4 linked regions of the Caenorhabditis elegans genome follow. The protein of the gene in region 1 interacts with the protein of each later gene in a pairwise test. Each region holds a gene or a part of one and is shown in the gene's direction. Other genes may lie near its edges.

Region 1 (7,933 bases):
TAAATGGAGAACGTATGTATATATTTTACTTTCAGTCTCTAATTTCTTTGAATAAACACTATATATGCTCATTGTCTGTCTTTAAACATGGAAGTTTTGTCACTCTAGAAAAATTAATGGTGCTGCTGGGGTTTAATGGTGGAGTTGACAGAAAATAACTGTTAAGATTAGTTTTAAAAACATTATAATTTTCAAATGTTTTTTTTTAATGTTGCAATTAAAGAATTGGGCTAATTTTTTTTTGCACTCCCGCGCCAAGGGGTTACGTCATTTTTTTGTTGATATTTTTGCGTTTTCTTAATTTTTCAATTTTTATAATATTTTTCCAAAAACTTGTTAACCTGGATGAAGTTCGCGAAAATTTCAAAACTAGAGCAATTTAACTTTAATTAGTGTTTTTTTTTCAGAAAATTGCCATAAAAACTGGCAAACGGTGTTTTACATCAAATATTGAAGAAAAATTGAAAAAAAGCAATGATGTTTTGCATGCGGTTCAGTGGTAGTTTAATATTTTAAGCCATTGACTGATCAACGATTTATTGTCTAATACCGAGAGTTCTATTAGGTAAAACAAGAACCAATGGTCGAACTGACGTTTCTTCCACATTTTCCACCTTATGTAGACATCAGATATGACCTTTCCCGCAAAGGTCGCAAAGGTTGTTCCACGGGTTTATCGGAAGTTCATTGTATCCTTTGATCCTGAAGTTCATACGTTCTTGGGCTTCCTTTGTTGTTGTAGAAGTGTGGCCATGGTGTAGATGCTTGCAGGGTGTTCGTGGAGCCGCGTTGCTTGGTGGAGTGTGTTGAGAGTCATAAGCCGTTGATATAGTCGTTTTATATTCTTAACAGAAGTTAGTCGAGAACAGGTTTAGCCTATCCGTATTCGCGTCCAAAAAAGATGACGTGCCATCCTGTATGATACACTGTTATCATTTTTATGAGCCTTTTTTATGATTTTTATTAAAAGTGGCAATTACTCAGTTTTTGCCAATCATAATTTTGGAAGTCGACCAAAAAAAAATTTTTTCGATAGTTTTTATGTTTCAATTTTGTTTAAATTATTTGTATTAAAATATTGTAGGGGTCGAAACATGCGACATTTCTTTAAATTTCCTCAAAAGCTCATATTTTTCAAAATTTTGACAATTTGCCAAAATTTGACCGGAAATTATGAGTGTTTTATTATGATATTTGGTTGTTTTGGATTATTATAAGTGCATTTAGATAAAATCCCCACTGGCGCTACTCCACCTATAAATGTTGAAATTTTCCGACACTTCCAAAAAATTTCCACAGGTTTTTTGAAAGTTCAATAAAAATTGCGAAAATTTTCTTTGTAGTTTTCTGGAACTTTCTGAAGTTTTCTAAACTTTTTAAAAACGTTATAAAAATATCAGGAATTTACTATGATTTAATATGACTCTTTATTTGACGGAGCTCTGTGTTGAGAGCCTACTAAATTAAATTAAATTAGAATGAAGAATACATTTTAAAAATGAATTTTTTGAAAAATGTGGGAATACATTAGTAAACACAGAGATAAATTTGAATGTGTGGATTAAGACTTTTCGATATTCATTCATCGTTCAATACATCACCGATTTTTTTCTGTAGGGAAGGCAAGTCTTTAAAAAAATCGCAACATGGATGCGTAATATTGTAAATTCGAAAGCTCCAAAGTGGTTCAGGGGTGAGTATCAATTTGTTTGTCAAATCTATAGGCCATGGTTCTCGTTTGTTCATTGGCTCTGTAATCATCATTATTTATATATTTTTTTAAAAACATGGTTCTACTGTTGAAGTTTGTAGTCTGTGACGTCAGACTACAAACAACAATTGTCAAAGTTTTGGCGTGAAAATCAAATATTTTGAGAATACAATTAGGCGGAAAGCTTGATTGTTTTGAAATACACCATCAAAGACTCAATTAAACGTAAATTTAAAAACAAAGTATTTAGAAAAAAGTTCCGTGACAATAACAAGCGCGGCCGTTATAAAATATAAACTCACGGAAATAAATTTCCAGATATTCACGGTTTTTCTCTATAAATTCAGAAAATTGGAATTCTTTTGGGACGAAAATGATATCGTTATTGTGAATTAAGTAGTTGATCACAACAACTGGCTGAAAAATATTACTATCGGAAGAGATGGAAACAAAAAACACGTACCTTATTGGTGCTGGCGATGATTTGCAGCAATTCATGAGACGAGCCATAAGTTCTGATTTTGTTTTTTATAGGTTCACACAAGTCTACCAAATGCTCCAACAAGTAGAATTCGGCTTCTTTTTTCAGTTCTTGTAGTTCTTTTTCAGAGTCTGGAAGTACTGTAACACCGGATCTCATGTAGTTTAGCACAGTTTCAAAGTACTTTGGAGAGCGATCAATGAAATAACAATCGGAAGTGTCCTTTTTAACCTGAATTTGAAAAATTAAACGCAAATGTATTGGGAACGATCACAAATGCTCACGTTCGATCCTGTCCTGTTATTTTCTGTTTTACAGGTTTTTCTACTGTATCCCTGATTTTCGTCTTGTTTCGTTGTCGTTGATTTAAAAAAAATTTAAACTAACCGGAACATTAGTCTCAATTAATGTTTTGAAGAATCCATCCTGCTTGGTCAGTGTCGATTTCCACGTCTCGAATACAGATCCGCCGACATTCAACTTGACAATTGTTTCAGAAAAGCACATATTGAGTAACGTGTATTCACAGAGAATAAATTGATGAACAAATGAGTCGAGTGGTCTCGCTTTACATCGATTTTGTGGCCATCTGCTAACCCATTGCTCTCAGCACCACGGGGAGGCTGACCCCAGGGCTCCCACCACGATTGGTATTTGCACAAGCACCGTAATCTTTACATTTTTGAATTACAAGCCACATTTTGAAGCATTCTGGAGATTCAATGAATTTTTTGACAGCGAATAATGAAATGGAAAATTGATCCTTAATTTGGAAATTGTTATTTTCTTTACTTCAATAAAAGTTTAACGTACTCATTTGTCTGATGGATGTCTTAACCTGTCTGCGTCTCAATGGAAGAAAATGGTCCGGGTTTGGGTTCATCTGACCGTTAGTGTGTAAGAGACCCCCTCTGAGCTCATCGATTTTTCCTGACCATCTGCTCACAGTAAGTACGGCGGGAGAGCAACGTTTGGCTAATCTGGTATTGGTGAAAATGTTCTCTAATTTACCTGAACTCTCTCCATTTTCCTATGACATAATAAGTTTTCCTGTAATTTTCTAAAAAATTATCCCAAATTTTCTGGAATTTTTTAAAATTATCTGTTTTTTTTTTTGAAAATTTTGGCAGTTTCTGAACTAGATAATTTGTGATTGCTACTTAAGTCCCTTTGGTTCCAAAATGGCCAAATATCATAAGAAAACGTTTCAAAAAATTTTTGAAAATTTTTTATTTACTGCCAAAAAGTGGCAATTACTCGGTTTTTGCCACTCATAATTTTGGAAATCCACCAAAAAAACAATTTTTTTCTACATTTTTTATGTTTTAATTTTGTTTAAATTATTTGTATCAAAACATTGTAGGGGTCGAAAAATGCGACATTTCTTTAAATTTCCTCAACAGCTCATATTTTTCAAAATTTTGGCAATATTCCAAAACGTTGACCGGAATGGAACTTTCTGAAGGTTTCTAAGCTTTTTAAAAATGTTACAAAATTATCTGAAACTCCCTGATTTTTTTTTTGAAATGTCTCAAATCTTTTAGAACATTCTTAACTTTGTTGAAACATTCTAAATTCTCTAAGAAATGTCTAAAATTTTTCAGAAAACTTCTAGAGTTTTTTGAATCTTTCAGAAGTTTTCCGAAAAGTTTTGATTTTTTTTTTAATTTCTGCAAATTTATAAAATTCCCAGAAAATTGCTAGACTTTCGAAAAAAAATGTTTGAAGTCTTCTGAGTTTTTTTTCGAAATGTTCTGAAACTGTCTGAAAAATTTTTTTTTTTTCTGGAACTTTCCCAACTTTCTCAGATTTTCTGCAACTTTCTACAGCTTCCTACAATTTTCTGCAATTTTCCTCAAATTTCGCTCATTTTCAGCGATTTCCAAAATGGATTCCATAGTTGAGCCCATTAAACTAGATATCGGTGGTACGGTATTCGAGACGTGTAAACTGAAGCTCACTAAATTTGATGGTTTCTTCAAAACTATGCTCACAAGTGATATTCCGGTAACTTTCAATTTTATTTTTTATTTAATTTTCCAACTTTTAAAATTTTCCTAATTTTTCTGAGAGATTCTGGAACTTTCTGGAACTTTCTGGAACTTTCTAGAATGTTCTGAAACATTCTGGAACGTTTTGTAAGTTTCTACAACTTTCGAAATCTTTCTCAAAGCTTCTGGAATTTTCTAGAACTTCCTGCAACTTCAGAGATGTTCCATTCTAGGTCTCAATCGACGAATCCGGGTGCATTTTTGTGGATCGGTCCCCGAAAAATTTCAGCCTGATTCTAAAATATCTGAAAGAAGGTGATGACGTGGAACTTCCAAAGTTTGAACGAGAACTGCAAGAAGTGAGAAGAGAAGCCGAATTTTACCTTTTAGACGGTCTAGTCGACCTATGTGATTCTTTTCTTAAAATTCGGTCATATGAAACTTCGGAGGAGCTTCTTCATATTATTGCAAACTGCAAAAAGGTATAGATGACGTCATTGAGTGGGCAGGGCTTTAGAGGCCACGCCCCTTTTGTAAGCTGGGCCTCCGTAGTTCATGTGACGAAATTAACTTTGGAAAATTTTTTTGTAATTTTCTGAAATTTTTCAGCAATTTCAATAACTTTTATAAATTTTTCTAAAATGGTCTAGAACTTTCTAGAACTTTCCGGAACTTTCTAAATGTTTAAAAAATTTTATAGAATTTTCAGAAAAAATTTCAGAAATGTTCTGGGGCTCATTGAAACTTTCTGACAGTTTTCAGCTGATTTTGTAATTTTTATGAAATGTTCTGGCACTTTCTGAAACTTTCTGAATGTTCATAACTTATTATAGAATTTTCTTTAAAAAATTTTTTAAAATTATTTTTAGGCACGCCCATTTGTGGGCGGAGCTTAATAAGCCACACCCAATTGTTCTCTTCTAGACTTTAAAATGTTTAGCACGAAATTCAAAAATCAAGTTCCTTGAAATATTTTGGAGCACATAAGAGGCGTGGTTTAACAAGCTCCGCCCACTAAAGAGGCGGGACGGGATTGGCTCCGCCCACTAAATGGGCGGGCGGGGTGAGCTCCGCCCACTGAGTGGGCGGGGGTTATAAGATAACGTCAAAATTTGTTCGCAGTTTTGATTCCCAACAAAATTTTTGACCAAGAAAGGGGCAGGGCTTGATAAGCTCCTCCCACAAAATGATCATAGCCGAAAATTTTGGCGCTTCATTCAAATTTTCGAAATATTTTTTTTTTCAGACAGCAATTCTTGTGATCAGCTATACAGTTCACAATGATCACCTCTGGAACTCTCCAGAATCCTTCAATTTTCAATATGTTCTCGAAAATCCAAAGTTGGATGTCTATTTCAGTGAGTTTTTGACCTGATTGGTCGAAAAGTGGGCGTGGCCGGGCGCTGATTGGTCGAATAATTTACAAGTGATTTTCAGAACAATGTGAATGCGAAGATGAATCTGATAAATCTCGGCGTGAAGATGGAGTCAATAAAGGTCACCAATCATGGATTTATCGGCTGTACTCTCCGATTAAAGGATTTAAAACATTTACAAATTTTGATAAATTGGAGAAATATATTAATGGGAGGCTGTGAAAATCGGGAATTTATGAATAAAATGTTGATCACTTCTAGACGCCGCCGTACCTTTTTGAGAAGTTTTCGAGAATTTTCATTATAAAACAAATGTAAAAAATTTGATAAATGCATTTGAAATATTAAATAATATGTGGGTATTCATTCTCCGTTCAAAATACTATCGATTTTCTTCTGTAGATCATCCATAGCTGTTAAATCAACGCAACCTGAATGCGTACTGTTGTAGATGCGATAACTCCAAACTGGTTCAGGGTAATATTTCATTCCGCGATGTCTCCTTAAATCTTTTGGCAGAGGTTCTCGATTATCCATTGGTTCTGCAAAATAATTTTAAGTAATTTGTTACAAATACGCTAAATAAATTAATCAGACATGTTTCAACAAATTGCGATGAAAAAACATTTTTAGGTCAATTTTTTTCCAAAAATTTTTTAATCTAATTTTTATAAAATTTTAAAAAATAAGTCAATTGTGTCATTTTCTATATTAAAATCAAAAATAAAAATTACGGTTGTCACTGTGAATTTCTAAAAATTGAAGTAAACTTTGCGTTTTTCAGTTGAAAACAGTAGTTTTATTTATGCAAACTGTTATATCTCTAAGAAAACATATGGCACTTTTTAAAAAAAATTACCAAAAATATCTCTGTAAATTTAACTTTCAGAAAATATATTTGACATTTTTGTAGCTAATCAGGTTCTAAAGTTATGCTAGTTTTCGCCAAAGAGACACATTTACAGGCCGGTGTAGTATCCTCAAAACTTACAATTTTCGGAATTTTAATGATTTTTTTAAAATTTTCCGAAAACGAAAAAAATCCAAAAAACTCACGAAAATAGATTTCTACCACTGAACTGTTTTTCTTAACAAACTCATCGAATCGAAATCCTTCTGGGATGTATATGATATCGTTATTATGGGTTATGTAGTTAATCACAACTACTGGCTGAAAATGATATCAAAATGATATTAAAATAGCATATATTTATATATATATATATATATATATATATATATATATATATATATATATATATATATATATATATATATATATATAACTGAAACTGAAATATATACATATATATATATACATATGGGAAAATAAATAACACCTACCTTCTTGGTGCTGGCGATGATTTGCAGCAATTCATGAGACGAGCGATAAGTTCGGATTTGATTATTTATAGGTTCACACAAGTCTACCAACTGCTCCAACAAGTAGAATTCGGCTTCTTTTTTCAGTTCTTGTAGTTCTTTTTCAGAGTCTGGAAGTACTGTAACACCGGATCTCATGTAGTTTAGCACAGTTTCAAAGTACTTTGGAGAGCGATCAATGAAATAACAATCGGAAGTGTCCTTTTTAACCTGAATTTGAAAAATTTGACTTTTTTGTTATATCTGGAGAACGGGCCACAAATGATTTCACTAAGAATATATAGGCTTACAAACCGGCCTGGACTGGACTTAGACTTGATTTTTGGACATGATTTCCTAGTTGGCGAAAAAAGAAACAAACTAACCGGAATATTCGTCTCGACTAATGTTTTGAAAAATCCATCCTGCTTGGTCAGTGTCGATTTCCACGTCTCGAATACAGATCCGCCGACATTCAACTTGACAATTGTCTCAGAAGAGCACATATTGAGTAGTCACAAAGAATGAATACCTTGTGTTACAGAAGATTCCTTCTGTTGCTTTTTATCGATTTTTTTGACGACCTGCTCATCGCATTCCTCTGAGCACCTCGGGAAAGGTGACCTCAGTTTTCCCAAAATTGTGTGAAAAATTATTTAATTATTTATTCCGTTACAAGGAAATATGTAGATATAGCTCACAATCAACGAAATATTAAAAAAAAACCTATGAATTTTAAACCACATACTAAAAACTAAAAATCGTCTCCTCATATATCCATCTTCGAGATTTCCTCTCCCAACTACACACTCCTCTCCTCAGCACCATATTGTCGGGCACCATCTCGCTAAACGCAACCTCTTCAGAGTAATAGGCCAAGCAAGCCACGTAGATCAAGGGAATCGATAAGATATTGATGATCGGAAGGATAAATCGGGTTACATCGCGAATCTCATAGGCTTCCTCCTGATCTGCCCAGGGGACCAGGCTGATGAAGCAACGGCCTATGTAA
Region 2 (7,630 bases), 6.8 Mb from region 1:
CTCTGGTAGTTTATCAGCCTCATCGAAAATGAATATTGATCGTTGACATTTTTGTACAGTTGTTAGAATCCGATTTCTTAATTCAACTTGATACTCTTCCAGTTTATTTTTGTCTGGAAAATCATTGGTCGCCACGATATGCTGGACAAAAGTACTGCGGAGTCCAAGCCTGGAATTAGAAATTATTGTTTTTCAACTAAAAATTTAACAAATTCCGAACCTGAACGTATTGTTTGCTATAATTTCAGCGACATAGTTCTTTCCTGAGCCTGTGTAACCGTGAAACGAAAGAACCAGTGGTTTTCGGGGATTTTCATTGTACCAATGAGATTTTATGGAATTTACAACGACGTCCTTTACCAAATGTTGGCCAAACAGTAGATTTGCAATATCCGCGTCCAGTGCTTAAATTAAGAATAATTGAATTCAGTGAAAAGGTGGAAAATATCTTACTGTGATAATTGAAATTTACGTCAGGTTCATGACAGCATTCATATAAGTAACACTTTAAACGATCCTTAAGACCCCAAAACGCTCCGGCCGATATCGCGATAGTCGTGCCTGAAAAAACCGAATATAATTAAAAATTCGACTTCTTCTCACCGGAATCTTTAATCTTACCGGTAATCACGCTTATCAATTCCGTGTTGACAAAGCACAAATGGAAAAGAAGGAGAAGAACATAATCAAGTTTCATCCACCTGAAAATTGATATTACGCTCGAGTAAAGGACACGAAAAATAAAAATAGAAGTTTTGTTTAATTCCAGGAATTGAAACTATAGTTTTATACATGAATTTGATAAAATTATAATAAAATTAAGGCAAAAATTTTTTTTTTGCAAACGGGCAAAAATATCCGTGCATTTTTATGTGGCGCTGTTTGCAGATTTGTACACCGTAACCCATAAAAAAAATTTCGGAAAGTGGAATTTGGAAGCCTACAATTGTTAATTGGGTAGAAAAATTGAAAATTATTGAAAGAAGAAAAAAAACAGCGGTACAAATAAAATACAGAAAACTAATAATCAAAGAGAGTTTTTCCTAGTGAACATGCTTATTTTCTTGTCTATAACATTCATTATTACTAATAAACACAAATTGAACACATAATTTCTAGAAAATTGGAAAAGAAACTGAAAGAAACGATTAATAGGAAGAAAACAAGGAAATCGATAAAAATTCGCTTGCAAAACCTCTACAGTAGTTTTAAAGACGCACATGCCAAACGTTTTTAACTTAGTTTGGAGCGCGTGCCGAGACCATTCCGCGTAAATGTGCCCTCCTTTAAGCTTATAGAATGGGTATATAAAAGACACATATATAAAAGACACCAATACTGCTTATTGATTTATTTCCAAGAAAAGCTCTAAAAAAAACATACTTTTCCAATACTTCATCGGTTATTTGGACGTTTTTTAAGATTAATCTGCCCGAAAAATGACGAATTTACTGAAATTTCCAAAAGGTATCGCTGGTCTGTCAAAACTTCAGCGAAAGACTATTAGAACCTGCATACTAATGTTCAAGTGGCCTTAGAGTGTGAAAGACTAATTAAGAAAATACGGTAATAGCTATGTCTGCAGAACGCGCCCAGGAAGGGTACTGGGAATTTCAAATTTTTAAGTCGAACAATATTTTTTCAGAAGTGAGGAGGAGTAAAAATGTTAGAATAAAACTTTTTTTCGGATACCTATCGATATCTAGCTCCTAATAATCTCCCTCTCCATTTTTGTCGTCGACAATCTCCGAAATCATCCAATCGTTCTGTGAAATTGGTATATTCTTGTAATCAGGCAAATTGATTCTTTGTTTGAAAAAAAATTTTGCAGGATCTTTTTTGGAATAGCACATTCCGAAATAATGTGTTTTTCCTCTTTCATATTCTTACAATACATGTTCAATTATTCTCTGAATTCACATCTGGATGAGTCAATTGGAATCCGTCACATTTTTCAGTTCACCACAAAAATGTTGTACTTTTTCTATACTAGATGGTGACAAGAATGATAAACTATTTGCTCTTGTTGCCATAAAATGCGGGGAGGGGCGGTGCTGCTGTTGGCTGATGATGGTTGTGCGTGATCAGTCGATTCTTCCCCGTTATCAAAGTTTTTCAAAATACTTCAACTCTTTTCTCTATTTCTATCTATCGGGTCTCTCTATGTTTAACTATTTCTATTTGATTTTGATTTTCCCCCGACTATTCCAAGTTCACTTTTCACACTTTTCCACGAATCGATTAATATTTGAATTACCTTGGGTATTAGCTTTTCTGTTATATGTATAACTCTATTTAAAAATGCTTTCAAAAATATTTCAACCTTCAGAAAAGTTTTATAAGGTCTTCAATTTCATCAAACAAAAGAAAGTTTGATTAAACTTTCTAATAGCTTGTTTGGAAATCACAAAAAACTAATAAACCATTTAGCAACTTTCCGATTGTTTTCAGTTTTATTTAGTAAAATACAAAAATATATTTATTTGAAAACAAAAATTGAATCAAAGTTGGGCAATTACCAAAAATACAATTGGCAACTTTCATGTATTTTCGAGCATACATACCTACGCAGTTTTAACCTAGAACAAATATATGTTGCAGATTAATAATATATTTTTCTACATCTTGACACTACGTTTTAATTTTTAAAAATGTTGGATCAACATGCCGCAATAGGTTAATTTGTATAATTTGCGCATATCCCTGATGGGGATAACTTTATTTAAATTAGTGTTTTAAACGGGACAGACTTTTGGAAAAAATGAAGTTAGATCTTAAAGTTAAAGTATTTTCAGTAATGATTTATATAAACTCTTACAAAATATTTTGATTTTCAAAATGTTTTTCAAAGTTTTGGCAACCTGCCAAGTTGTTTAAATATGGTACTTTTTTCAAATTTTATGATTACTGTAGGCTAAAACCTAAACAATGTTCTGATCCGAACGATTGAAGCATCTTTAAAATATAAAACTCGTAGGATACTTTTTTGGACGACATACACAGTTTTGATATGTGAAACCTAGATGTTAGCCACTTTTTTCCAGATTAAAAAAAGTCAAATAATTTTTGTCCAATGATAAAATAATCTTACAATTAGCTACGTTTTCATGTAAAAGAAAGTTATTTTTTACAATGAAGTTTTAGTTGCACATATTTCGAACCAATCGTGCATAAATAAATGAAACACATATTCCACGTTTCGATGAATGTGTGTTTGATGGTGGTGATCCATGTTTGAATGGAAATGACTCAATTATTTGTTTGCATTGTGCGGATAAATGATGTGGCACAATCCATTCCTGCACACGGAGCTCTCTAACTTTTAATATTTCACAATTTGAAGGTTATATTGATAGTGAATGTCACTTGACTTTCTTCCTACATTTTAGACAGTTTCACGAGTTTATCAAGTGTTTCATAAGAAAATACATGCAATGACGTAGTTGTTTGTTTGTAAATGTCTAAATAAATTGAAATCAAAGTTACCTAATCAAGTCGTGGTTGGAAACAATAGTTAGTGTTTCACTGTGATCTGTGCTGTTTTTTTAACTAGTAGCAATTGTTTGTGTTTTCTAGGAGTACAATATTCAAATTTGGTCACCAGAAATTTAAAATTTTGAATACTCAGAAATACTCAATATTGGTAAAATCATGGAAATTTATAGAGAAATTGGAAATTTATCGGAGGCTCTCCATAAGTAGAGCACTAACAACTTTTTCGAAAATTGGTCTTGGCTCTAATATTTTTGCTCCCCCCAATTTTGATAAACATTTTTTAACTCACAGAAAAATTCGAAGCATAACGTTCATTCATAATAATAATTCACAATATTCTTTTGTTTTCTAAATGTTGAATTTTATAAGTAGACTCTTAAAACTGGCCGTCCAAAATTAATCGTACACTTTTTCTTAAAGTTTTTTTGAAATAGAATTAAGCTTACAAAACAAACGCCTTGAATTTGTATGTTCTGTTCCTTTTCCTCATTTTCCTTTTCTTTCAAAATTTCCCAACTTTTATTATTTCTTTATTTTTCTTCCTTTATTGTTCTTCACATACATTTTCCTTTTTTCGTCCTTTTTTCCCAATCGATAAAAGGAGTCTTTCTAGAACACAATACTTTATCACAAAATCATGAGAGAGAAGAGTGTTTGCTGAAAAGGTAGTTTATGCTGACTCAGAATGTTTCGGTGACCGGCTGACTCTGAAACCTGTTTCTTGTTTCTGTTTACTCGATTTTACCTCATTTCCATTGGTTCCCTATTGATTTTTGAAACTTTTGATATTTTACTTGTTTTTTTTCAGTAACTCTTTTATGATTTTTCAGAAAACAATGGCTTACAAAGATATGATGGAAATGCCTGGAGTGCTGAAACCAGCACTCCTGCTTCTCACACTTCTTCAAATTATCTTTATGGCTTCACCAGGAGTCCGTGGATGGTTTTGGTTCATTTGCCTCACATCGATTCTGGAATTTCTCGCGGCTATCGCAGTTGTTGCAGTTGTTTTCTTAGATTTAACTTTTACAAGATCGGGACAGTTTGTGATTATTGTGAGTGAGAATTTTAAATCAATAGCGAATGCAGTAACTTCTTGGTAAAATTTTCACTCGTTTTTGGCAGAAATTTTACAACTTATTTGAGAGGTGTTTAATGAGTTGTCGCCGATTGTTTATATTGATAGTCGGGAAATTAAAGAATAAGCTGATTAAATCGATTTGTACTACTATTTGATTTGACTTCAGAATGTGCTCAAAATGTTGCTAAATGTTGCAAAATGTTGCTAAAAGCTGAACTCTCGCTCTCCATAGGCAATATCTATTCACATCAGCTAAGAATATGTATAGGTTCGAATATATTTAGGCTATTAGTAATGTCTCTTAAAATATTTGCAACTATTTTAACATGATAATCAGGACGAGTTCATTCCTGCCTGTCTGATTTCTTGTCTACCGTAATTTTTCTATAATACTGATTCTACTATCAAATGTTTCATTGATGTGAAAAATGTTATAAAAATGCAGGCAAAAAGTTTTAAAATAATTTATTTCAGGAACTCGCATACAGTGGAGCATTCTGTGTATGCAGTGCTCTCAACACTATTTACTATTTTTGCAATATCTTCTATCATTTCAATTTTTGGTTCCTTTTGGCAACTGTTTGTTTTTTAAGATACTAAAACTTAAGAATCAGTATTATTATATTTTCAGATTGTATCGGTACTTCTTGTACTAGCATATGGTCTTCAAGCACTCATGGCTTGGACTTCAATGTCTGCTTCAAGAACTTCTTCTTCACACACTTCAAACCAAGCAACTGCTGGACCACCACCAACAGTCTATCCAGCCGGAGCCAACCCTGCATAAGCTTTGAACAAAAACGAATTTTAACGGTTTATAGCTCTTATTTATTTTTTAACGAGACATCACAAAAACCCCTTCTTTCTCACTCTTTTCTCTTGCTCTCCTACATTTGACATGTTGACATTTTTGAACAAAATAAAGTGTTTCCTTTAACTAGTTAAAATATTTTTGGAAGCTGAGGATAACGGCGAGGCTTAAACAAGAGTGCATCTAGCCCGCATCTGTCCTCGCCCTCATTGCAAAAGCTTCATTTCCCGATTTGCAAGTATGGTAATGTGTAATGACATTTGTTGAGACGCAGTTGAAGTTGAAAATGGCTAAATGAAAAAATAATTGGCGTTTCTTTTCAAAATTAATTTTCAAAAAATGACATCCGTGGCCTTCCATTTTTCAAATACCACGTCACAACAAAACAACCGAATAACCAGAAAACTACAAAATAAATTTATTTCACAAAATTTACAAGACGTAGAAGCGAAATCAAAACAATGTCGCTATCGGAGCTGTCAGTTCTGTCTGCTGAAACTGCAATCAGTTTTCACGAAATGGATTTGGAAATTTTGAAGGAGAGTCAGAAGGCGTTGAGGGAAGAAGCTGGAGGAAAAGAAGAGGTGGAGGAAACAGTGGAGAATCCGAATCCAATTGTGTTCATTGCCGTTGATGATCAGAATCTACCAAATGGAGAGGAAGAGGACTCATTCATCTTCGAAAAACTTCAGTTTCGAGTCAAGCAAGTTATGGAAAACGGTACTCGTCGTGTATATCTTTCTGTGCAAGCAACAACTCCTGCTGAATGGCAACTTCTTGTTCAACTCAGAATCAAAACTGGATGTCAGTCGAATATTTTGAATGTTGTTGATAAGGATGTTTATAAATTTGATTCATTTTCATATCCTCTGAACGTGGAAATTCAGAATAGTGACGTCAAATTTTTGAAATTTGAAATGAGAGTGTTGAATTTGGTGAGTTTTTTTTTTTGAGATTATAATCTATTGATCTGTAAATTATAAACTATTTCAGATGTACCTGGATCTCCCAACTTTTGAGGAAGGTGATGAAGTGATTGAATTCGACGATGGATCTCGTATTCGTGTTCATTCAAACATCCTCTCCCTATTGTCGGATTATTTGGGAAAATCGGAAAAAGAGTACGCATCTCGTACGGATTGCCCAGCTATCAAAGCAACTTGCTCTGAAAAGGAAGCATTCCTCGAACTTCTTTACCAAGCATATCCTACTCGCCGTCCAATTTTCGCATCATTCCGTCGTTTGACAGCTGGAGCCGTTGGTTACAAGTGTGACAATTTGATTTATCAGTTGTCGAAACATCTCATTGACTACAATTACAGACCGGTTTGAAGTTCTTTTATTTGAAATTTTCTAATGAACTATTTTCAGATGACATTCTTGCAACGCTTTCAAGCAGCGATTGAGAATAGATTGGAGCCTGCTATCAGTGAACTTGCATTCCGTGCAGCTTTGGACGGAACATGGAACCAGATGATTCAATCAGGATTTGAACCTGAGAACTTCTGTGGTCGTCAAGTTTACACGAAAATTGTGTGCCCCGCTATCTTGCTGGCAAGAAATGCAAAGCCCGATGCGACAACTTTGAAGAAGCCCGAGAACAATTTGAAATTTATTGAATTGGAGGTAATCCAATGTTGAACAAAGTTTAATATAAAGTAGTTTATTTAGGAGGGTGACACTACCAAGTCTGCAATTCTATTCCGTGGAACCATCTTCTACATCAACAGTGGGATACTTGCCGCTCATGGAAAGGAAATGCTTTGTATTGGTCAAAATGGAGAATACATTGCTCGTTACACTGCAGAATTTCATCGCGAATGTGCTCGTGGAGACTTGATCCCTGGCGAAGTTCTTGTTCAACTTCTCACCTACATGCATCCAATGGGAGAAGTTCCTCATCCGGATATGATTCGTGCTTGCATTGTTTTTGCTTTCGATCATGGATGGAATATTGTCAAGGAAAACTTGGAAAATGAATTTGAGCCACCAATTACACCAGATGAGTACATGTCGCAATTGATGTTTGGAGACAAGTTTGATCTCAAAAACTTGCTCCGTGTCAATATTCAAAGAGCCGAGTCAAGGTTTGTTTCGAGAAAGTTCCAATTAATCACTATGTTTCATATTTCAGTTGTCGTGAACTTGCCGAGGTTTTGGAGAGACATGGAAAACTGAAAATCTTGAAGGATCGTACTCATGAAGGAATCATGGACAGAATGTGCAGTGGATGGGGACTGAAT
Region 3 (7,717 bases), on another chromosome or scaffold:
GAATCAAAAATTCACTTTTGTAGATTACTCGCTTTTTGCAAAACCAACTAATCCGGCGTATGCAGAAATGCTTGTGAGTTAGAGTTTCTAGACATACAAAATTAGCTTAAAACGTTTTTATTTTTTAACATTTAAGCGGCCTGACAGAATAGACAACGACGGATTATTAGCTGATTCTCTTTCTTCCTACGAGAAAATCAGCAGTTTTTATAAATCATTCATTTACTCAAGAGCTGATGTCTTGGATTTGTTCACTAAAGTTTATTATTACGACTATATGGTATTGCAAATACCTCTACCACAGTTGAAGGATGCGGAAGTTCGAGATTATAGAGAAGGATGGCATTGAATAAATCTATGGAACATTTTTCATTATTAAATTATCAAAATTTTCAAAAAATGAATTTCCTTTTTTTTGGAACGTGCAAAAATCCATTAATTGCCTTGAATCTAATCAATGTTTTACAAAACGCATGTTTTTGAGCAAAATAATATTTTTCAAAGCTTTCAAATCATGAGAATTCAATTAAAAAAGGATAAACAAACAGGAAAAAAGTTGAAAATAAAAAATTTCCCGCATGCACCAGAAACGCGTCAATAAAATCGTCAAACGCGCAAGCGTTACTCTTCAAGGCGCAACAACGGGGTTCCACTCGTCAATTTTTGTGTTGAAATTTGAATTTTTCACGTGATTTTAACTGTCTGAAATTGTTATCTATAAATATATATTTTCCATTTATTATTGTTTTGAAAAAAGAATAAAGAAACATTACCTTTTTAAACTTCCAATACCTTGCCTTTCTCGGCTCTTCGAGAAGAAATCTACAGTTTTCCATTTCTTCTCTACTCTTTGTGAAAAATCTGTTGTGTCTTGAAAAAACCTATTGTGAAATACCACTATGTCGTCAAAAAATGATTAGGAAGCCGAAGAAAACCACAGGGACTGAATCTCCTACAAGAATTATCGATTTTTCTCCAAACTGTTTTTATGGTGCTCTCGATTTAAAACGCGTTTAATTCTATGCTTAAACAAATTAAAGCATTTCAAATTTCAGTTCAAAATGGTTTTGGCCGATTTGGGGCGGAAAATCCGAAATGCGATCGGAAAGCTCGGTCAGAGCACCGTTATCAATGAGGGGGAGCTGGATTTGATGCTGAAAGAAGTCTGTACAGCTCTTATTGAATCTGATGTTCATATTCGTCTTGTAAAGCAACTTAAGGACAACGTGAAGTAAATTTTTACGCTATTTAAGATTTAAATTTAATAAATATTTTCAGAAAAGCGATTAATTTCGAAGAGATCGTCGGAGGAGCAAACAAACGTCGGTACATTCAGAAGACAGTATTCAATGAACTGCTGAAGCTTGTGGATCCTGGTGTAACTCCTTTCACACCAACAAAAGGACGTCGCAACGTTTTCATGTTTGTTGGTCTTCAAGGTTCCGGTAAAACTACGACTTGTACCAAGGTTCGTTCCATGAATTACAATAGAAAGCTCACACACCATCAAACATTATATTTTTTAATTAGTAAACTTCCAACAACTTTTCAACACTTTTCAAGTTCAGATGGCGTATTACTACCAAAGAAAAGGATGGAAAACATGTCTGATCTGTGCCGATACATTCCGTGCTGGAGCTTTTGATCAATTAAAGCAAAATGCCACAAAAGCTCGTATTCCCTTCTATGGATCATACTCTGAAATTGACCCCGTAAAAATTGCCGCCGAAGGAGTAGAAAAATTCACGGTAATTTATCACAGAAAAATGGTTTAATAATATTTGTTTTGCAGCAAGAAGGGTTCGAAATCATCATTGTTGATACATCAGGTCGTCACAAGCAAGAAGCTTCACTTTTCGAAGAAATGCTCCAAGTTTCCAACGCAGTTACACCAGATAATGTTGTTTTTGTGATGGATGCTTCTATTGGACAAGCTTGTGAAGCCCAAGCACGTGCTTTCTCTCAAACTGTTGATGTTGCCAGTGTTATCATTACAAAGTTGGATTCTCATGCTAAAGGAGGAGGAGCTCTTTCTGCGTGAGTTTTTACTTCGAGATCCTTTATCGTTTTGAAATTGCTCAAATACTTTTTTCAGTGTCGCTGTCACCAAATCCCCAGTAATCTTCATCGGAACAGGAGAACATATTGATGACTTTGAGATTTTCAAGCCAAAATCATTTGTTCAAAAGCTTCTAGGAATGGGAGATATTGCTGGCCTTGTTGATATGGTCAATGATATTGGAATTCAGGATAATAAAGAATTGGTGGGAAGACTGAAACAAGGTAAATTTGATTTCAAAAATTTCAAAAACTGAAAAGAACATTTCCAGGACAATTCACTCTTCGCGACATGTATGAGCAATTCCAAAACATTATGAAAATGGGACCTTTCAGTCAAATTATGGTTCGTTTCAATGTTTTATAACGATACCTGAATACTTATTTATTTCAGGGTATGATTCCTGGTTTTGGATCAGAATTTATGACAAAGGGAAACGAGCAAGAATCCGTCAACAGGCTGAAGAGAATGATGACTGTGATGGATTCTATGAGTGATAAGGAATTGGATCATCCAAAAGCATCTGAGCTCTTTACAAAAGAACCAAATAGAGTTGCCAGAGTTGCCAGAGGATCGGGATCTCATCAACAAGAAGTTCGAGATCTTCTCGCTCAGTACAAGAAATTCTCTGATGTTGTTAAGAAGATTGGATCAATTAAAGGACTCTTCAATGTAAAGTTTTGTTCCTATTCGACAAATTGAAATTTTGTAATTTCAATAATTATTTCTAATGAATTCATTTTGCAGGGCAAAAACGGTGATATAAACCCAAAAAATATGAATCCAGCGAAAATGGCTCAATTGAATCAACAAATGGCAAAAATGATGGATCCACGTGTGTTGCAGCAGATGGGTGGTATGGGAGGCCTTCAAAATATGATGCAGCAGATGGCAAGAGCTGGAAAAATGTGAAGAAATGGATGCAATTATTTTCTGTAGTTTTTGAAATGCCTGTTCCCAGTTCCCACAATTCATTCTGACTAAAACGTTTTTTAATAATATCAATATGATTTCTCGATTTCCCTTTCATCAGAATGTTTCCCAAGTTCATTTTTTGTCTAGCAGATTCTGTGATTCTAATTAGAAACAATTTAGTTAAAGAATAATTTATTTATTTCTTTTTTCCCTTTTGAATTTTCCTGAATTAAACTCGTTTTTTCCCTTGGCTCATCGGTGTAAATATTCACATTTAAAAATGACTGAAAAACATATGCCTGTTTATTTTCTATCTCATTGTTCTCGTTTTTTGACGAATTTCGAACTATTTTCCATAAGTTTAGATCAATTACAAATTGTAATAAATCAGTTTCAGAACAAGAATGCCACCAAAAACTAGAAAAACAAAAAAAGAAGACGTCGAGGAAGAGGCTGTTGAAGAGATTTTAGAAGAAACTAAACCTGCAAAATTACCAGAATCCGATGAGAGTTATTCGAGAAAAGTTGTCATTTCCAAAGGTGATTTCCTTTATTTAATTTCAAAAATGAATGTTTTTGTTTTCAGAGGGCAATTTGCCAAATAGCCGAATCATCAAACTGCGGCACCCGAAGGAAGGACTAGCGCTGTTCAGAATCTCCGAAACGTGCTTTGATGAGGTAAAAATATTGGTCAAGCTTTCACAAAAAACCTGAATAAACTTTTAAATGAGAATAAACTTACAAAATTTATGCAGATTTTCGCTGTCAACGACGGTCATCGATCATTCTTCTACGGTGAGAGTGTAATCGAAAACGGAACAATTCACATATTCACTCCATACAATCTCGTCTTCATTTGTCTCCCATATCTACAAAAGACCGCAGGAAAATTTGTGGAAATTGGCGAAATATTGGTAGATGATCAAGTTGACGGGATCAAAGAATTGGCTGAAAATGAAAGAATTCTGAAAGCATTGGAAGCTGTTTCAGATGTCAAAGGTTTGGAAATATCAGTTCGTGGAGATGGAAAAATAAAAGATTTCCAGATGTTCTCGATGTCAAACTATATCGTTTGAACGATCAAAAAATGTTGGATTGGATGAGAAGGAAGTTTGATTCTCTCAAAAAACTTCTAGAAAGTGATGCCCACAAGTCTTTGTTGTCATGTCGTAAGTTTCTCGTTTTGCTTCTTAATTTTACCAAAATGAAATAAATTTCAGCGGAAGCATTCGATCGTTATGTTTTCACATTCCTGTCTGAATATCTTTCTTCTGATCTTGCATTGATTGTTAAAGATCATTTGAATATTCAAGATGCTACTGTCTCCGAGAACATCGATATGAGTATGAAACGAAAAGCTGTGGATGACGATGAGCTTGAAGATAAGAAGCAACCTGTCGCAAAGAAACCAAAAGAATCAGTACAATCAAAGAAACTTCAAGCCGCCTCGAAGGGAACCAAATCAATCAGCTCATTTTTTGGAAAAAAATCTGCTTGAATCTCTATTTTCTTTATTCAACAATTTCGCATATAATTTCATAACATTGACCTCAATTTATCTATGATTCCGATGCTATTACTTTGCTCAATCTCAATTTTGCATTTCACACATTTTTTAATTCGTGTACTAAATAACTGAAACTTTGAAACGTTTTCGATTGAGAATACTCCTTCCGAAATGGGTCCTTTGCCTATTTATATCTATATTTAACAGTTTCATCCGATTTTAACGGATCAACAATAAAAAAAATATTTTAAGATGGCGGCACGTCTGGCTGCATCACGAATTGTGCACGCCGGCCGCGGAATCTCTCAACCTACACCATTCGGAAAACGAATGGATCGATTGTCAAATCGAGTATGGGGAGAGGTTGTCATGCCAACTGACACTAAAAGTTTAAAGGTTTTTAGATGATTTTTATAAAGAAAAGTTTCTGAAAATTTTCATTTACAGGTTGTCCGAGTAATGTCTGCAGAACCATATGAAACCAAAGAACAATTATCACCGAAATACTATCCAAATCTTCCGATGTTTCATTATTTGACCAAAATGCTACGATTCCATGGACTATTTTTTGATGATCACGTAGTTTTCAGAGATGTTCAAGATAATTTGAAAATTATTCGCGGAAAAGTTGTTCGGCCACCAATCGGTCAAGGAAAGCGTGCACAATTGAGAGGAAAGAAGTAGTGTGGATGTTCTCGAAGTTTAAATCTAGATTAGAAGTTTTGTTGATTTTTTTTTTACGTTTGTTTTAATTGAAAATAAATTCTTTTTGAGGTTTTGCTACATTTTTCCAATAAAATTAAAGTTTTTAACACAGAAAATATCGATTATTGATTTTCTTTTTAATTGCTCCACAAATAATTGGCAGACGTTGCTTTTTTCAGCAGTTTTCAGACTTAGAATTATGAAAAGAGCAATGGATGGAGCAAAAAACGAAGCGAAAAAATCTAAAGGTTTCGATTTTGCAATTTATCTGAAAAAGTTCATCTCCGGTTTACAGATACTGATTTATTTGGACGACCACTGAAAAAGACTGGATCCTGGGAATCAAAGGTTTCAAAAATAAACTTCATTAAAAAAAACTAAAGTCTGATTTTTCCAGGACAACGGCGATTTGATGATTTTCACCCATTCAGAATGTGAAGGAAAAGAGAAAATTGCCGCATTCGATATGGGTAAGAATTGGTCACATTATTTTATTGGCGAGATTTAACTTTCCATGAGTATTCCAAATTTTGATTATGAATATCAGATATGAATTGTTTCAATGGAAAATAACATGCTATAGTTTTAGAAAAATATGAACGATAACAAAAAATTAATAAGATTTCGGAGAACGGTTCACAGATGTTTCGGTTTCTTCTACACTGTCTTCCTTCCCATTAGAATCCTTAATAAGCATCTCCAATTGTTGAAAAATGTTTATTTCTGGCAATTTCGATGATTCATTTGGTTTCTGTTTTACTTCACTCTCTGTGGTTGTACTATTGTTTCCCTCGACTTTTAAACTAGTTTCTCCATTTTCTGCATTAAAATCTTCTAGGAATCCTGAAACATTTCCTTCTGATATATTCTTCCATTCATCACTGTTAATTAGTTCAAAAAGTGATTCTTCAAGCGTTTTGTCTGTTGTGCCATCACTAGTTGATGGCGTTTTTGGGCTTGAACTTCTTGCTTTTATCAATCCGTGTCGAATCATAAATCTTTGAAGCCAACCATTACTTGCCTAGAAAATATTTTATTCGAAATTCGAGTTTAAATGTTTCAAACCTTAAAGTCTGCATTTCCATTAATTTTCTTCGCATATTCCTTGATATCTTTTCCCGAAATTTTCCCGTTTTTCGAAGCAATCCAATCTTCAACTTTCTCATCTAATTCCACATTCTTTAGCGGTCTTCCTGCTCCACCGAGCCTCTTTGCTCCTTGTTTTCCTTCTGATTCGAATGCTAATTCGTGCTGAAATTCCAGAAATTTGTTGATAGAACTACTGTAGTTCAGAAATACCTTCAAATGTCTCCATCGTTGAATACAAGCTCTTGCAACTCCATATTTCTTCTGAGCTTGACAATTATTTGTTTGTTCAGCAAATCGAATAACTTCATTTTTGAATTCGAGTGTAAAATTGGCACGCTTCTTTTTTGGTGGTGGCTCGGATGAAGTTTCAAGTATTTTAGGAGAGATTTCAGTCATTTCTGAAGTTTAAAGCTGAGAATTCTACATTTCGGTTAGAATAGTATTACTCAGATTCGAAATTTTGCGATTTCCTACGCAAAAATGCGATACTAGGTCTTGGCACGACCGAATATCCTTTAAAAAGTACAGTAATCTCCCTGCCTCATTGGTTTGATTTTCCGATTTTCACATTTTTCCCAAAAAAAAATTGTTTTTTGTGAGACAAATCAAAAAATACTAAAATTTTATGCAAAATTCAGGAAAAAAGTCGAAGATGAATAAGTCAGAACAGTGACTCGTAGAGGTTACTGTACTTTTTAAAGGTGCACTTTTTTTCATATAAACTTATTCCGCAGTGTCAAGACCGAGTATCGTATTTTTGCGTTGAAAATCACAAAATTTCGCATCTGTGTAATATTTACATTTGCATCTTTAGAAAAGATAAAATAAATAAATAGAAAAAAATCAATGAATTCTAACGTCAAGAAGAAGGGAGTGCCGTTTTAATAGAGGGTGTCCACACTTCAAGAGACAACAGACAAACATTCAGAGTGTGTATGAAGATGAAGAGACACAGACAAACATACTATGCCTGTCTAATGGAGGGAGGCTGTGACCTACAATTAGAGAACACAGACGACTAGAAATACTGAGTGGTGTATGGATATATTTTTTGATTTTCTTGTTGTTGATGAGTGGGAAAACTCACGTCTTCTATCAAAAGAAAACACATATTTTTGGCGCAGAATTGATAATTTTCACGAAATATGAAATTAGTATCAAGAAACTTGGCCTTACTGAGACTATTCAAGCAGTGAGCCTCTGGCTCGGTACATTTATCCCTTGAACCTAAAATTGTGATGTAATTTCCATTTGATTTTCTTCAAATTAAGTAGTTTGCACAAATTAATAAAAATGTAATACTAATCAATTTTTTTTTTGGTAAATTGCCAAATTTTTGTGGAAATCCCTAAAATTACTGTAGATTCGAACCCCTACAACTATTTTTTGTCGATCTCCACAACAATAATAGATGAAAACCTGAAAAAGGTTAAATTTATGAG
Region 4 (7,240 bases), on another chromosome or scaffold:
AAAAAAAAATACATTTTTTATTCAGAGTGGAAAGGGCGAAATTCGGTGTTGGTGAAATGGAGTCTCCTTACAATACAACTGGAGCATGTGCAGTAGAGATGGAAATTGATACACTAACTGGATACAATCGTGTGATCCGTGTGGATATTGTCATGGATGTCGGGGAAAGCTTGAATCCGGCCCTCGATATTGGACAAATTGAAGGAGCATTCATACAAGGATATGGTCTCGTAACTTGCGAAAAAATTACATTCAATAAAACTACCGGACAATTGGATCAAAACACTGCAGGAAAATATAAGATACCAAAAGCCAGTGATGTTCCAAAAGACTTTAGAGTGAAACTTCTGGGCATTAATAATGCAAATGGAGCACAAGTTTACTCGTCAAAAGGAATCGGAGAGCCACCACTAATGATGTCATGTGGGGCAGTTCATTCGTCAATAATGAATTGTATTGATAATTGGAGAAATGAAAATGGTATTCATGAATTTGTGGATACAATTTCACCACTCAGTGCTGAAAAAATTCAAGAACTCTGTTCAAAGAAATAATTACATCTAATTAAATTTTATTTGTCTTCTTATAAATAAATTGTTGTATATATCTCAAGCCTTTTGTTGATATTTAATCCACAGACCATGATATTGATCATCTATTAATTCTTCGAACATTTCCATTCAGAACACTTTTGTAACAATTTAAATCGTTTTGAAATGAATTCGATGTGTTTATATTTTAATCAGGAGGCGTTTGGATTTATAAACGAGCGTCCGACAGGATTAGTGTGCCACTTTCTTTTTCAGTCCACACTTGTCCCCTCTCAACACTTTTTTGTTATTCTCTCACTTTATCCTCACCTCTCGCCTAAAGTTCATTTCAAATTTTTGATTCATTTCTTACTGTGTGAAATCAAGAACTAGACGGAGTCGGAGTGGTTGGCTCGAGATGCTTCAATGAGTCGACGGACTGCGTCGAAGTTACTAGTTTTTGTATTTTTATGCTCTTTATGTTTTGGAACTCAACGGTATGATATGCCGAGAAAAATTGACTTGTTTAATGATTTGATTACACAATCGACAACTCCAGCATCTCCAAAGGTGAATAATCAAATATACAACTTTCAAACCAAAGCATTTATAATTTTTGTAGTTTGTTTTAGTTTTTAATTTTCAAGTTTTCTTTTGATAATTGTTATTCTAAAAAATTGAAAGCAATGGGTAGTTTTGTTCAAAGTTCAAATTTATACAACAACGTCTACCTACTAAAAAATGGTATATGCCGAGTTTTAAGTTGATTCGAAAGTTGATCTCGTATAAACTAGCTGATCTGAACTTCCGAACTCAAAGTTTTTGCCGAATTAGCACGAAACACAAGTTCCCAAAATATTTCAAATGTTTTCAGTGCCAATGTCTTCCACCAACAACTCCATCCACCCCTCCAAACTGTATTCCTTACGATTCTCGATTGCAAGCAGCAAGTCTTGAAGAAGCTATTGTGGCATTCCCAGATCTTACCATTACTCGACAAGAGAAGACACAACAATCTGTAATTCTTTTTTTTTCATTATGTTTTCGGATCTCAATTAACTTTCAAATTATGGAAATTTGTTTTAAAGCTTTTTCGGAGTGTAAAGTAACTATAATATTTCAGACTGCAACACTAAACAACTGCAAAACTAAACAATGCCGTGATTGCTATAAAGATCTCAGAAGCCAGTTGCGAAAAGTAGGAAGCCTCTTGCAGAATCGCTTCTAGAAATGTTCACTTCCAATTTTCAGGTCGGTCTTCTTCCAGGAACCATTGACCAGGTGTTTCACAATCAGCGGAACTTCACAACTTGTCAAAAATATAGATTTGCAAGACAGGATAAAGGAGTCTATGAGAAGAAAAAGAAAGCCAAACAACATTATGATTGGGATTATGTAGAATGTAAGAGAACATTCAGTGTTCTTTTTTTGGAAAAACTCTCAAGTACAAATTGAAAGGTTTCAGATGATGAAGATGAAGATGATGATTACTTTTGGGATGGATTATTTTGGAAGAAGAAGAGAAATGTATTAAAGAAAATTGTAAAACGAGACGTTGAAGCTACTACTGCAATTTCACAACCACCTAACAGTACAGCAATGAACTCAACCGGAATTATAGGTTTGTATTGAAGACATAATTTTTTTTCTAAAAACTTCTTATTGGTATATATTTTTCAACACTCTGAAAATAAGATATATTCAAAACAATAATTTTAAGTGACCGTCATAAATAATTATGAAAAGAAAACAACCATTCAAAGGTTTTTTTAAAAATTTTTACTCAAAATGCGTGTATTGTTCTCCCTCAAAAAATTATTTCCGGGTCGTGAATTCCCTTACGAGAATTTCAATTCCCCTCGGGTGGTCATCATCTCAAATTCCAATCTTCTTTTTCATTTTCAATCTCTAACAATTTCAAATTACTAGAACCCACAAACCAATGTTCGATAACGGCATGCAACCTTGAGAGAGTCTCCGATTTGATGTGTAACCTTCATTAAACCCTGTAATACAAGTCATGTCGACAAACCAGATCTTCATCCCTTCAACATTTGGCAGAAAAGTGCAATTCGTCTTTTACAGGAATTCGATTTCCGATCTCTTGCACAACTCGAGGCGTCACTCCAGATGGATTAGGAACTGTTTCCCTTTGTAGTACATGTTGGGTGTGGCGACGTCTTCCGAGTACCTACTATCCTGCATATCTTAACGAAGTCGTGTGCGATTATGCGGACACATCGTGTCTGAGTGGTAGTGAAAAGACAGAGAAAGTGGGGGAAAAAGAAAATACCATTTTTTCAGGATACGCGTCATGCCAAACTGGAACCCAACAGTTGAATGTGCTACGAAATGACAGCGGGAAATTGATTCCAATATCGGTATCAGCTGGAATCAATTGTGAATGTAGATTAGCAGTTGGATCAACACTTGAATCACTCGTACTTGGACAAGGAATTTCCAAAGCAATGCCGCCAATTGACACAACTAGTACAAAACCACCAAATTTGGCAACAAGCACAACAAGCCATTCCTAATTTATTTGGGTATTTTACTCTTGATAATTGTATTAATGATCATTTAATGTTGTTGAATATCACACATTTAACATATTCAATCGAAGAAATATAACGACGTTCCACAACATCCAGTATACGTCTTCCTCTGTATTGAGTTTTATTCTTTGACATTGTGTCATGTTTCAGAACATAGAAATATACCAAAGTGTTGAGAAGCATTGTATAATTCAATTGAATCTTTTTCAGTTTACCTCTTCTCCTTTTTCACCGTTTCCGTCATCAAAACGCCGTTATTCAAGGTGAGATTATGGCGATAAATGAATGCCATTCACAAAATTGCAAGACACTATTAAAGAAGAAGAGGTTTAGAGATTTGTACCGATCATAGCTTCTTCTGAGAAAGCGACCTTGGCGGCCGTACTTGAAGAGAAGCAATTTTTATCGCCGTAGAAGATGTTGCCTGCCACCCACCCTGTACGTTGTTTTTTTGCTTATCAACATCTGAATTTTGTTGTCTTTTGCACCGCCTACTTTTACTATGGAATTTGAGGAAATATAATATGAATTGAAGAGAATACGCTACCTGTCAAAGAAACGTCACGGTTAGGGTAGTATAAAAGGGAAGGGTAACACTGAATAAGGTACCTGGCTTTCAGTCATGGAGAAATTTCTTGTAACCCTCTCTACCGGAGCTGCCTCCATCGCCGTTCTCGCCGTTCTTTTCACAGTTCCATCCCTCTACAACACCATCAACGAGGTTCACGATGAGGTAATAACTATTCATTATTTATTGCATTTTTTAATCTAAAATATTTATAGGTTCTCGATGGAGTCTCTGTCTTCCGTGTTGAGACCGACTCTGCATGGACCGAGATGATGGACATCCAGATCACCGTTACCCCACCAACCAAGCCACGTGTCAACCCATTCAACTCTATCTTCCGTCAAAAGCGTCAAACATTCTCTGGACTCCCAGCTTGGTGCCAATGCGAGCCAACTAAGCCAACTTGCCCACCAGGACCACCAGGACCACCAGGACAGCCAGGAGCCCCAGGAACCCCAGGAGCCCCAGGACCAAAGGGAGACGACAACACCGCTACCTTCGCTCCACTCACCTGCGCCCCAGTCTCCCAAGACTGCGTCAAGTGCCCAGAAGGACCAGCTGGACCAGCCGGACCAGAAGGACCAGCCGGACCAGCCGGACCAGACGGACAACCAGGAGCACCAGGAAACGCTGGAAACCCAGGATCCGACGGACAACCAGGAGCCCCAGGAGACAACGGACAAGACGGAGCCCCAGGACAAGACGGACAACCAGGAGCCCCAGGACAAGACGGACAACGTGGATCCGGAGCCCCAGGAGGACCAGGAGCCCCAGGAAACGCTGGACCAGCTGGACCAGCCGGACAAGACGGAGCCCCAGGACAAGACGGACAACCAGGACCAGCCGGACCAGCTGGACAAGATGGAGCCCCAGGAAACGCTGGATCCGATGGACAACCAGGAGCCCCAGGAGGACCAGGACTTCCAGGAAACGATGCCGCTTATTGCGCTTGCCCACCAAGATCCGCTGTCTTCGTCTCCCGCCATTAGATTGGTTCAAGACAAGCATCGTCTCTTTTCTTTTTATCAAAATAAAATCATTTTCATTCAAATTTTACTTTTAATAATACATCAAACTACAAGTTAATGTTTGCCGAACACACGAGAGACATTCTTATTTCAATAGTCATTTCGAAAAATTTCACTTTGTCTTTTTGGTCTGCCATGAAGATAAGTGTAATTCCACCTGACAAGAGTGCGAGGAAAGAGGCTGAAAGGTTTCATTGTTTAGTAGACGACAAAAATGTTGGTTGTAATAAACATAAAGTAAATGAAGTGTGTTTTTGTTAAGAATGGCTTAGAAAAAAGTGTAACTTAAATATCATTATGCAGTCTGTGACTAAAGGTCACTAATTTTTTCACAAGATGAAATGGGATAAAAGTTTCGCCAAGTTCGGACGAGTTTAGAGTCGAAAATTTGAATACCGCTTTGAGAAATTATCAATTTTTCTACGATTTAACTAGGAAAGACATCAAGGCTTTCAGTCATGGAGATTGCGAATAGTAGGAACACTAGTTTATAGGTACCTATCAAGTAATAAGAGCATACACATGTACAAGGGTTTTGCTGGTTTTTGCACCCATCGGCTGACAAAATACCTCAATCAGCGAAACAATATTCGGTAATATACCAAGATATGCAATACGAATAGTGACTAGTGAATAATTAATTTACACTAGTTTTCGCGAGTCGTAACATTGTCAAGTTGACAAAATTTGAGTTTTTACCCGGAAATGGATTATTTTTTCAATCTTCAAACTGTCATAACTTTTTTTGTGAAACTTTCTAGACATCTCATTTTAAAATGAAGTGCTTTCGAGGGAGATTTCGGAGTCTAATAAAGCAATGACTTACATTTTGTAAGGCCAGATATAAAATGTTCATCAATGTTTTGTTTTACATATTCATCAACAACCATTCTAAAAATTCAGTCAGGCGCACCCCGTGAGCGATCCAAGAGGTTTAATTGTAAATGTTATCATCCAGTCAAGGAATTTTAAGGTAACGCAAAATATTTCTAAATAACATCCCATCTGACACATTCAGATCGCAACATATCATGCAATCGCCTCGAGAGAAAGTTGTCCGTCCTTCTTCCTCTATCACCTACTGAGAGAAAAGCATTTCATCTTTGTCCGCTTTTTCTCTACGGCCTGCCCACTTTACTATCTTCCTCGTTTGTGGCTTCTGAATGAGGAAGTTGAGGCAAGAAAGACAAGAAAAAAAGCGAGTTCATGGAGACAAATGGAATATTTCATTACACATCTCTATGCAAAAAAAAACTGTATGAGTAATTCAAAAAGAGGAGTATAAAAGGAGGCAAGATAACTAGGAAAGACACCAAGGCTTTCAGTCATGGAGAAGATTCTTGTAACCTTTTCTACCGGAGCTGCCTCCATTGCTGTTCTTGCTGTTCTTTTCACCGTCCCATCCCTCTACAACACCATCAATGAAGTTCACGATCAGGTTTATATATATATACTTTTACAAAATAGTTAAAACAAAATTTCAATTTTATAGGTACTCGATGGAGTCTCTGTTTTCCGTGTTGAGACCGACTCTGCATGGACCGAGATGATGGACATCCAGATCACCGTTACCCCACCAACCAAGCCACGTGTCAACCCATTCAACTCCGTCTTCCGTCAAAAGCGTCAAACTTTCTCTGGACTTCCAGCCTGGTGCCAATGTGAGCCAACTAAGCCAACTTGCCCACCAGGACCACCAGGACCACCAGGACAGCCAGGAGCCCCAGGAACCCCAGGAGCCCCAGGACCAAAGGGAGACGACAACACCGCTACCTTCGCTCCACTGACCTGCGCCCCAGTCTCCCAAGATTGCGTCAAGTGCCCACAAGGACCAGCAGGACCAGCCGGACCATCAGGACCAGCCGGACCAGCCGGACCAGACGGACAACCAGGATTCCCAGGACAACGCGGTAACGACGGATTCCCAGGAGCCCCAGGAGCCCCAGGAGACAACGGACAACCAGGAACACCAGGACAAGACGGATTCCCAGGACAGCCAGGAGCCGACGGACAACGCGGATCTGGAGCTCCAGGAGCCCCAGGAGCCCCAGGAAACGCTGGACCAGCTGGACCAGCAGGACAAGATGGATTCCCAGGACAAGACGGAGCCCCAGGACCAGCCGGACCAGCTGGGCAAGACGGATTCCCAGGAAATGCTGGATCCGATGGACAGCCAGGAGCCCCAGGAGGACCAGGACTTCCAGGAAACGACGCCGCTTATTGCGCTTGCCCACCAAGATCCGCTGTTTTCCTTTCCCGCCATTAAATTTACTTTCATTGTATTCTCAATACTTTCCATGTCATAAAATAAAATTTTTACTTTGTCTTTCATATTTTTAACAGCCTTGTTTACCGATTGAAATCAGCTGAAAACATAAGGAGAAGTCAACAGTAGCACCCGATTGAAGCAATGTAGTGTAAAATCATGTAGTTACTCAACATTTATTGTTTGATTCAACCTTTTCTTCTGTTGTCCAATATAACCAAAAACAACAACAAAAACATTTTTGAGATACAAAATCATTGCTACATCATTAATCAATCTTCATAAAGTCTGAT

The links.
Region 2: the proteins of C40A11.2 (region 1) and C18E9.9 interact in a two-hybrid assay, tested with the Caenorhabditis elegans proteins (one large-scale study listed by BioGRID).
Region 3: the proteins of C40A11.2 (region 1) and F21D5.6 interact in a two-hybrid assay, tested with the Caenorhabditis elegans proteins (one large-scale study listed by BioGRID).
Region 4: the proteins of C40A11.2 (region 1) and col-10 interact in a two-hybrid assay, tested with the Caenorhabditis elegans proteins (one large-scale study listed by BioGRID).

Annotation. Positions count from the first base shown.
Region 1 is NC_003280.10:2,142,884-2,150,816, forward strand, and holds C40A11.2 (BTB domain-containing protein), read left to right. Parts: upstream 1-4,066; 5' UTR 4,067-4,079; coding exon 4,080-4,199; intron 4,200-4,416; coding exon 4,417-4,665; intron 4,666-5,429; coding exon 5,430-5,541; intron 5,542-5,620; coding exon 5,621-5,781; 3' UTR 5,782-5,909; downstream 5,910-7,933. Other genes in the region: C40A11.3 (BTB domain-containing protein), read left to right, coding at 1-3; C40A11.6 (BTB domain-containing protein), read right to left, coding at 1,579-1,751, 2,014-2,128, 2,175-2,423, 2,580-2,699; C40A11.7 (BTB domain-containing protein), read right to left, coding at 5,923-6,101, 6,616-6,730, 6,904-7,152, 7,308-7,427; C40A11.8 (G protein-coupled receptor), read right to left, coding at 7,669-7,933.
Region 2 is NC_003280.10:8,986,240-8,993,869, reverse strand, and holds C18E9.9 (MARVEL domain-containing protein), read left to right. Parts: upstream 1-4,325; 5' UTR 4,326-4,331; coding exon 4,332-4,550; intron 4,551-5,050; coding exon 5,051-5,155; intron 5,156-5,207; coding exon 5,208-5,363; 3' UTR 5,364-5,511; downstream 5,512-7,630. Other genes in the region: ooc-5 (Torsin-like protein), read right to left, coding at 1-169, 221-404, 454-561, 604-697; C18E9.8 (DUF7754 domain-containing protein), read left to right, coding at 5,849-6,322, 6,381-6,713, 6,759-7,013, 7,059-7,474, 7,522-7,630.
Region 3 is NC_003282.8:8,737,043-8,744,759, reverse strand, and holds F21D5.6 (Ribonuclease H2 subunit B wHTH domain-containing protein), read left to right. Parts: upstream 1-3,371; 5' UTR 3,372-3,378; coding exon 3,379-3,514; intron 3,515-3,560; coding exon 3,561-3,652; intron 3,653-3,729; coding exon 3,730-3,973; intron 3,974-4,020; coding exon 4,021-4,143; intron 4,144-4,194; coding exon 4,195-4,472; 3' UTR 4,473-4,620; downstream 4,621-7,717. Other genes in the region: F20C5.7 (uncharacterized protein), read left to right, coding at 1-73, 137-349; F21D5.7 (Signal recognition particle 54 kDa protein), read left to right, coding at 1,062-1,231, 1,279-1,468, 1,569-1,748, 1,793-2,037, 2,096-2,283, 2,331-2,404, 2,453-2,731, 2,807-2,971; mrps-33 (Small ribosomal subunit protein mS33), read left to right, coding at 4,734-4,877, 4,929-5,165; F21D5.4 (HTH CENPB-type domain-containing protein), read right to left, coding at 5,800-6,207, 6,252-6,437, 6,486-6,671; F21D5.5 (uncharacterized protein), read left to right, coding at 5,386-5,434, 5,482-5,534, 5,584-5,656.
Region 4 is NC_003283.11:9,161,758-9,168,997, reverse strand, and holds col-10 (Cuticle collagen 10), read left to right. Parts: upstream 1-3,690; 5' UTR 3,691-3,707; coding exon 3,708-3,818; intron 3,819-3,868; coding exon 3,869-4,642; 3' UTR 4,643-4,706; downstream 4,707-7,240. Other genes in the region: putative aldehyde oxidase gad-3, read left to right, coding at 26-554; B0222.11 (uncharacterized protein), read left to right, coding at 957-1,100, 1,405-1,548, 1,654-1,728, 1,782-1,932, 1,996-2,151, 2,616-2,783, 2,835-3,067; col-145 (Putative cuticle collagen 145), read left to right, coding at 6,009-6,119, 6,174-6,947.